Linked DNA regions of Macaca fascicularis. The protein of the gene in region 2 purifies or fractionates together with the protein of the main gene of each other region. This does not show direct contact. Links are inferred from orthologs where the notes say so. Each region holds a gene or a part of one and is shown on either strand. Other genes may lie near its edges.

Evidence for each region.
Region 1: the proteins of SLC39A7 (region 2) and FAM174A purify together in Homo sapiens (co-immunoprecipitation; 3 studies listed by BioGRID and IntAct, with this or other methods). This does not show direct contact. The link is inferred for Macaca fascicularis from reciprocal best matches to the Homo sapiens genes SLC39A7 and FAM174A.

The regions. Positions count from the first base shown.
Region 1 is NC_088380.1:106,952,743-106,957,275, reverse strand, and holds the start of FAM174A (membrane protein FAM174A), read right to left. Parts: upstream 2,895-4,533; 5' UTR 2,709-2,894; coding exon 2,275-2,708; intron 1-2,274.
Region 2 is NC_088378.1:138,501,027-138,505,286, forward strand, and holds the start of SLC39A7 (zinc transporter SLC39A7), read right to left. Parts: upstream 2,904-4,260; 5' UTR 2,855-2,903; intron 2,549-2,854; 5' UTR 2,545-2,548; coding exon 2,134-2,544; intron 2,046-2,133; coding exon 1,877-2,045; intron 1,719-1,876; coding exon 1,665-1,718; intron 1,528-1,664; coding exon 1,363-1,527; intron 1,231-1,362; coding exon 1,090-1,230; intron 882-1,089; coding exon 685-881; intron 252-684; coding exon 1-251. Other genes in the region: RXRB (retinoic acid receptor RXR-beta), read left to right, coding at 3,316-3,550. UniProt on the Homo sapiens protein: Transports Zn(2+) from the endoplasmic reticulum (ER)/Golgi apparatus to the cytosol, playing an essential role in the regulation of cytosolic zinc levels.

The DNA.
Region 1 (4,533 bases), on a different chromosome or scaffold from region 2:
GCATTCACCAAGATAATGAAGAAAACTATAATCTGGAAGCAAAAAGTGTGAGTTCTGAACACTGCGCAGACACTGTTAGCATCATTCAAGCTTTGGATGCCAGGCAGCCAACTAAATGTAGGACTTGGACTGCATGAATGTGTTAGATGCTGGTTAAAGAATGCAGTTTTTATTAGCCATAGTTCAGAATTTGGCTGTTAACACACATCATGTTACCAAATCATGCAATAGGATCAGATTGGAAAGATTGTATCTGTCCAAGTTTTACAACAATAATGACAGAAAATCAAGGTAATAAATATGTGTATTTAAAATTATTTAAAAGGTGGAAGCAAAAGAAAAAAAAAAGCAAGGAATATTCCCCCCAAATTATCATTATTCTATAATTTACATGTATAAGAGATATAACACTCAAGGGGCCATGCATTTTTATAGAAAATATATATAGACAGCAGTAAATAACAGTTATATAGTGAGGAAAATAATTTGTTTCAATATTCTTTTAATCTTTCTTTACATTAAGAAGAAAGTTTCAATTTGGTGGCAATATTCTTTTAACACTTAGAGTGTGAGTGCAGATTTGCTGGCCTTTGTGAACCAACAATATCTAGCTCAAATAATATTGCTTACACATGTGGTTCTCAAATATTGCTTACACTCATGGTTTTGGATTTCTTTACATTCTTAAAATTGTTCAGGAACTCAAAAGAACTTATATTTATGTGAATTACACATGTCAACTTTTAACATATTAATTAAACTTGAGAAAACCTATACGTATCAACTGATTTAAAATAATAGTAAGCACATTACAGGTTAACATAACCTTTATGAAAAACAACTATTTTTCAAAAAAGAAAAAAAAAGGTAAAAAGAATGACATTTAGATTTTTATTTCCAATTCCCTTTAATATCTGACTTAAAGTGATAGGAGTAGATAAAAAATAGAAACAAAAAATAGGAAACAGATTTTTATATTTACTTCTGCATTAAATCCTTTGCAATGTGTTGTTTGGTTGAAGCATATAAAGTAATTCCATCTTCACACAGATATAAATTTGGAATGGAAAGAAACATTGTAATAGCCTTTTTATATTTGAGTGGTTATTCCTTTATGATACTACTACACCAAAGCTTGACAAGCAGTGTCTTAAAGATTAGTTGCAATGTGGAATCTGAAATAATATCAGTGAACTATTTGTACCCTATAAGCCTGTAACAGAATGTATTATTTTGAAAATAGTTTTAATACTGTAGGTCCCCTGAAGAGGTCTAGTGAAACTCCCAACTGTGTGGTTCCCTGGCCCACATGTCAGGAACTACTGGCTTACACTATTTTTTAACCAGTCAAGTGATGGTGATGTTGGTTTTCCACTCATGATAATAACGACTTGTTTAAAAGGAAAGTTTGGTTTTAAATAATCAGTTTAAAGAAATATGTTAAATTACAATACAGAGGGTAATTATGGGAAAAACGTGAAGTAATTTTGAAAACAATAAACACAATCTGCAAACCTACCCTCTACACTTATGTTATAATGAAGGAAACTGCTAGACAGCTTTCCCTCACCTTGTGTCTTTGCTGGCTTCTAATGGTGAGGTCTTGGCTCTGTATGTCAAATCTTCAGGAAGGTGATTCTCAACTAATTAGGTATAAGTGAATTACTTAGGTGGCAGATTAAAGGCCAACACTAGGAAACACTGATAGTAAGGAAGAACTTTTCTTCTCCTGAATTTTATAAAAATAAAATATCCATAAGGCACCCCCATATTACTATTAATCCACTCAAATATATATTGATTTCCTATTAAGTGGCAGCACTGTACAAATAATTTGTAAGACTCACAAACCTACTAAATAGATATCATGTCTTTCAAGAGTTTGCATTCTGATAGGCACAATTTTGACCAGTTAGGTATACAAAAATGTAGACTAGAAAAGTAGAAATATTACAAGACAGAGTAGTCAAAATTCTAGGGAATAAAGATTATCTTCACTTCAGAGAAAGGGTGTCCTTTGAGGCTGACGTGGGTCATAGGTCAGATGAAGAGATTTGGAGGTAAGGCACTAATTTATAAACAAATGGCAGCAATTAGTTATAGGTTTAAACTGCTCCAAAGGTAACAGGCCTTTAAGAAGGTCAATGTCATATTCTTAGGCACGAGTCCCTGATGCTGGGGAAGGGTATAGGGTCACAGAAGTCAGCCTTGCTGGAGATCACTGGCCTGCGTATCTCAGGCCCACGGGGGTGCCCCACCGAGGCTTTGCCTCACCTGACCGTCCTGACCACGAAGTACACCAGCACCGCGCCGCTCACCACCATCAACACGGTCAGGGCCCGTTGGGTCATGGGCTTGTCGCCAGGGTTGGGGCTCACAGCAAGGCCGCCACCCACTGAGCCTTCCCCGGCCTTCCCTCCGTGATCGTCCGCCTCAAGCCCGGCCACAGGGCTGCTTCCATTGCCTCCCTCGGAGCCCTGCGGCCCCGCAGCTTCAGCCAGACCACGGCCCGGCTGCTGGGCAGCGGTAGGGCCCGGTGGCAGCGGCGGCAATGTCCGTGGTCTAGGGTCAGGAGGCCCAGGACCTTGCGCGGCCTCGGCTGCCTGCAGCAGGACTGCCAGGGGCCCGCTTAGCTCAGGCAGCAGCAGCAGGAGGAGGACGGAAGCCAAGAGGTGGCTGAGACAGCAGCAGCACTGCGAGGCCTTCATCGTTCCCGGACCGCGCTCTCACCACCCGGAAGCTGCCGCGCCCGCCACCCTGGCTCCAAGAGGGACCATGGGCGCGGTGGAGAATGAAGCAGAGGTGACCAAACGCCAGGGAGAGGCCCGGTCGTGGCAGGTGGCAGAGGCTATAGCAGTGGCAGCTGCCTGGAGGACCGGAAGTTCGTACATCTCAGCGGCCACTGCTGCTAAGGACGCCTTCGGTTGCTAACTGGTAGGGGCAGGGTGCACTTGGTGACGTCAGAGCCCCAGCGCCTAGTGCGCAAGCGCACTTGTGTAAAAAGCGAGGAGGTGAGCGTTCTGAAAGCTTTGCACTTTTCACTGTTAGTGAGGAGCGGTCAAGGATGCTTATTAAGAAAGTAAGTAGACAAAAAGAGATTGTGTAACATGTACAGCAACCCTCTCATGCAGGAACCCAGAGAGACTGGAAACTCATTTTCTGAATTCATTCGTGTCAAACTGCAATAACACATTTAATCTGTAAGCCAGAAGGGCTTAGTTTTCCTCAGCTTGATTACAAGCTTTAAGCAGGCTTTTTTCCCTGCCTATGGATCCCTGACCTCCCTTTCTAAAGAGCATTTACTTGTGATGAGTTCATGTCCTTTGCAGGGACATTGATGAAGCTGGAAACCATCATTCTGAGCAAACTATTGCAAGGACAGAAAACCAAACACCGCATGTTCTAACGCATTGGTGGGAATTGGACAGTGAGAACACTTGGACACAGGATGGGGAACATCACACTCCGGGGCCTGTCGTGGGGTAGGGGGAGGGATAGCATTAGGAGATACACCTAATGTAAGTGACGAGTTAATGGGTGCAGCACACCAACATGACACAGGTATACATATGTAACCTGCACATTGTGTACATGTACCGTAGAACTTGAAGTGTATATACATATATGTGTGTGTGTGTGTGTGTGCATATATATATATGAAGAGCATTTACTTTAGAAAACTTTACCGTTGTAAGTTCTTTCTCTTCCCTTTTCAGATGTAAATATTTTTTAAAGCTTCTGGCCAGTTTTGTAATTGAAAACTATCTCAAGGGTATGGTATGGAAAGCCATGACTTTGAAAGGTAATCAGCAGGGAAGATAGTGGGCCATCTCTTATTTTGTGTGAGAGCATAGGAGCCTAACTGCTGTAGGCTTTTCGTTTCCAGTTGTAAAACCACCCCCTGTCATGGAAGAGAAAATTTACTTTTCCTTTGGGTAAAGTCAATCAGAAAACTCAGGTGGCCCATGATCTTCCCAAAATAGCTGTTAAAAACTCTGCACTCCTTTGTTTCTTTTAGAGGAGTTGAGCTTAGAAGAGTTCTATCCCCTTTCCTGACAGCAGTAGTCTTCAATAATATCTTCCTTGCCTCTTTGACTTGGGTAATACGGAACTTCAGTTTGTGCAGATAACTAGAAGTGGCCTGTCAAGGTATACGTGGGGTATACGTGGGTCTTTTGAGTAAGTTATTGTTTTCATTGCTAAAAGAGAGACAGATATAGATATATACAGAGAGAGAGCCAGAAACACACACACACACACACACATACACACACACACTCATACACACACTTACACCTCTCATTATTCCTTTTCCCCCTTACACTTTCCTGCCCTCTCTGCAGAGAGTTCTGGCCCTAACCTTGAGAAGAACATGACCCAGATAGTCCTCTGATCCTAGTAGACGAGACATCTGGCATAAACTATAACTAAACCTACAGCCTGGCACCAAATGCAGCCAAGGTTAGCTTAAGTTAGTTAATCCCAGCTTGACCAAAGACGTGAAAAATCAATGCTTATTTGTTGTATGCCACT
Region 2 (4,260 bases):
ACCATCATGACAACTCCCCCCAGCAGCCCCAGCACCTCCAGAAGTGACTGCAATGGTGATGCCTCCCTCAGCAGCTCGGGCAACACAGACACTGTTGCTACGTAGATAAAGCCACCTGCAGTAAATGGCAGGACCCAGCCAGGACCTGCACCACCTGCAACTTCACTGCCCACTGCTCCTCCTTCAGTGAGAAGGGCACAGGCTGTGCCTGCCAGTGCCCCTACTGCTGTCAGTAGTTGCAGACGCATTGCCTGATGGGCAGAAAAGAGAAAAACGCACTCACCAATAGCTAAAGATTATCAGTGGTTTAGAAGTGGCTGGTGGGGTGTAGGTATAGGGGACATGGATTTGGAAACTAAACATCAAAGTAAAAAGAGAGGAGGGGGCAGTCTAGAATAGACAATTTCTGAAAAATCTTAGCGATCAGAGGTCCTTTCCAGACTTTCTGATTGAGTAGGCGTGTGTGTGTAAGACTCCACTAAACCATTCAGATGGTTTATAGACCACAGTTTAAGAAATACTGAGCTAAAGGACCAAGTAACCAGAACTTCTTTCCCCTCATTTCTAGAGGACTTGTCAATGACAGTATGAATTGTTTGGAACTAACAAGAGGCTGTTTGGGTTTAGGGTGAGTGAGGAGAAATAAAGGGTTTGAGGTAGCTGTGTTTGGCAGACATCACCAACCTGCTTTTTGCTGCAGCCAGACTGGACCAAGATGGCAAAGTCTCCGACCTCATGGGGCACTTCATGTAGCAGGACAGTCATTGTGGTCAGGATCCCTAGCCCCCGACCCCCTCGAAAGGAAGCCCCAATGGCCAGACCATCAGTGAAGTTGTGTGCCAAGTCAGCAGCCAGATTCAGGTACCCTGACACACGCAGATCTTGTACAGGACGAGAAGAGAAAATGATCAGAGGCCTCCATCACCACTTGTTCAGTCTTGGTCAGTTATTCTCACACCTCCCCTCAGAGACCACTTCACACCCAGTCTTTTAGTGTTTCCGAGACACCTGCCATTACCCACAGCACATATTCCATGTGATTTGTGATGATGTCCCTTGCCCAAATTTATGACCAACTCTGGCCCTTACCTAAGCCTCTTTTTTCTTCTTCAGCATTCTGAGGTCTCACTGGCCCATCTTTGGGTACCGTGCTCCCTCCTCGCCTCTTCTGAACCCCCCCTGTTTCCTTTTCTTCTTCTTCTGAGCTCTGCTTCTCCTTGTTAGAACGCTCTGAGGGAAGAAAAGAGTTAGTCAGCGTGGAGAACAGATCTTCCAACATGTCCTCTCCCTCCTGAGGGCCGTAAGATGAGGAGACTCTGAGGCAGGCAAGTCAGCTTTCGGGAAAGTTGTTCCTGGGCTCACCTTGTCTTCCATGTCCATGACTTCCATGTGTGTGACTGTGAGCGTGTCCATGTCCATGACTGTGACCATGTCCTCCTTTCACATGTCTCACAAATTTCTCCACAACAAGAAAGGCAACAATTCCACTGAGAACCCACAGTCCCACAGACAGAATGGGGCCCTGGCCTGGGAATGGAGGCATTGAGACATTAAAGGAGATGTGCATTACAGACTCCTCCTCCTCAAGTGCAGGAGGTGAGGAATAGGGAGAGACAGACCTTCCCCAGCACCCCAACTCCCATCCCCATCTGTCTCTTCCTCACCACTGTGGGAGTGTCCATGTCCGTGTTGCTCCAGAGTGTGGTGAGAATGAGGTTCTGGAAGATGGGGGGAAAACCAGATGAGGGAATATCTGACACAAAGGGTGTATATTTGGGGGAATATCGAAAGGTCAGGGATCATAAAGGAGAAAGAACCCTTTTCCCCCAAAGAACAAAATAGGTTAGATTTGAGGTAGAAGTCAGAGGTTACTTACCAAGAGCATGAGGAATGAGGTGCAGGAAGGCATCTCCCAGGAGGCCACCGGAAGCAAAACTGAGCAAGATCTGAAGTAGAGAGCGATGCCGGGGGGAGTTTGACTCCACGGGGATAAGGAAGAGGACAAAAAATGGAGCTGCTGAGATCAGCACTGTGGCCCCCAGTGCCTGGTGAGGGAGAGTCAGGGTCAAGTACTGTGGTGTTTTCCAACAATCCAGAACCAGCCCCTCTCTCTCCCATCCCCTGGAGACTCACATAAGCCCAGAGAGTGACAGCATCCAGGTCCTGCTTGATGCCTGGAGCCCCAGACTCCCCATAGCCTCCATGGCTATGCTCATGGTCATGTCCATGTCCTCTGTGGAAGAGGCTCTCATGGGAGTGGCCATGGCTATGGCCATGGTGTAAATCCTCATGTGAATGTCCATGGTCGTGACCGTGGGTATGTCCATGCCAGATGCTCTCGTGAGTGTGGCCATGGCCATGGGCATGGCTGTGTCCATGGTGGAAATCTTCATGTGAGTGCCTGTGACTGTGGCCATGGAAGTCCTCTTGCAGATCGTCGTGCAGGTCGTCATGACCCGCGAGTCCAGCCACCAGAAGCCCCAAGGCCGCCCAGGTCAGCAGTCCCACGGCCACCCAGTGGGGGGCCCCCAGGCCTCTGGCCATCACGCTGACCAGAGGGACAGAGACAGTGACTCCACTTGACTCAACTCTATACCTACACAGGGTCAGCTTTACTCCAATAGCGCCCTCCGTCCACCTCTATGGGCCGCTCTCCCATTCCCTTAAGTTCCCACCTACCTACATTGTTCCCAAGACTAGTTCTCTTTATCCCGAACCCCCTCCCGGATGTAGGGCCCTGGGACACTAGTCTTTCACCAGCCACTTTACAGACTCTCTGGGCCCTCGTCTCTATGACTCATTAGGTAAGGAAAAGGCCTAGAAAGGATGGTAGAGAAAAACAGAGAATTCTCACCAGCTCCGGGATCCTCTCCTTTCCCGGTTTGCTCGGACGTGGCAGTCCCGCCTTTAGCTCCCGCGAGAACAGGAAGTTCCGTTCCACCTTCGTCCTAGTGCCTTTACCAATATGGCGGTACTCTTGTAGCGACGAATCCATCCTGCACTGATGCGCATGCGCGAGTGTGGAGGTTATTTGAGGGGAGGGTGGGCAAGGCGGGCTAACAGGCCGGAGGAGACCGCCTCCTCGGTTTCCAACTAGACGAGGGGGCGGGAACTCGCGCCGAGACTTCCCGTCTGTACAAAGATGGCTGCCACATTGGCGCTGTCATTTTGGTACAGAGCAGAGCGACGGGCTTAATTCTACCCAATCCAGGCCAGAGTCTTTCTCTCAGGGGCTTCTACGTGCTCAGCTACTCCTCCGATCAACCCCTGGGAATCCCTGGGAGCTCTTCGGTATCCCTACTCTCAGCCAGGGATATGTCTTGGGCCGCTCGCCCGCCCTTCCTCCCTCAGCGGCATGCCGCAGGGCAGTGTGGGCCGGTGGGGGTGCGAAAAGAAATGCATTGTGGGGTCGCGTCCCGGTGGCGGCGGCGACGGCCCTGGCTGGATCCCGCAGCGGCGGCGGCGGCGGCGGTGGCAGGCGGAGAACAACAAACCCCGGAGCCGGAGCCGGGGGAGGCTGGACGGGACGGGATGGGCGACAGCGGGCGGGGTGAGTGTCCCAGCAGAAGGGCAGGCGAGCCAGTAACCGCGTTATCTGCAACCCCTCCCCCACACCCTCCTCTGGTTTTCCTGGCGCTCCCGCCCCCTTGTTTGTAAACACGCGTCCCCTCCCTCCCGAGGGCCTTAGCACCCTCCTCCCCGGGGCGGGGCGGGGAAGGGGAGCTTCCGCCCTCCTAACCGTGACCGCTTGAGGCCTTGGGCACCGGAGGTCGCGGGCGTGGGAAGGGCACGATTCCTCTTAAGCTTCAGAACTTTGGGCGTTTAAAGGCAGATCCTGCGTCGTAGGAGGGGTCTCTCCCGCCTATCTCTTTCCCCTGCACGCTCTGGCTACCTGGCTTTACGCTGGGAATAGAGGGGCTCGATGGTCTACCCCACGTGTTGCCCCACCCACGAGACAGGTGTGGCTTTAGGATGACCTGGTATTCAAATAGATCGGTTGGAAAATTTTCCTCACCTGAACTATCCTCCTCTCCTTGTCACCTCCCTCCTCTCACCACAATGAGGAGTTATGCTGTGTTTTTTTAGCCAGTCAAATATAGCAGTGGGGGGTTGTATATCAATTTTAGTGACACTAATGTTTATTAATAAGTTCTGATAACCCACTACCATCGGACCAGCCGGAGTTACACAGTTGTTTGGCAGCAGGGTGTCTCTGGACTTGGGGATGGGTGGAGTGGGCTGGGTCCGGCACGGTGGGGT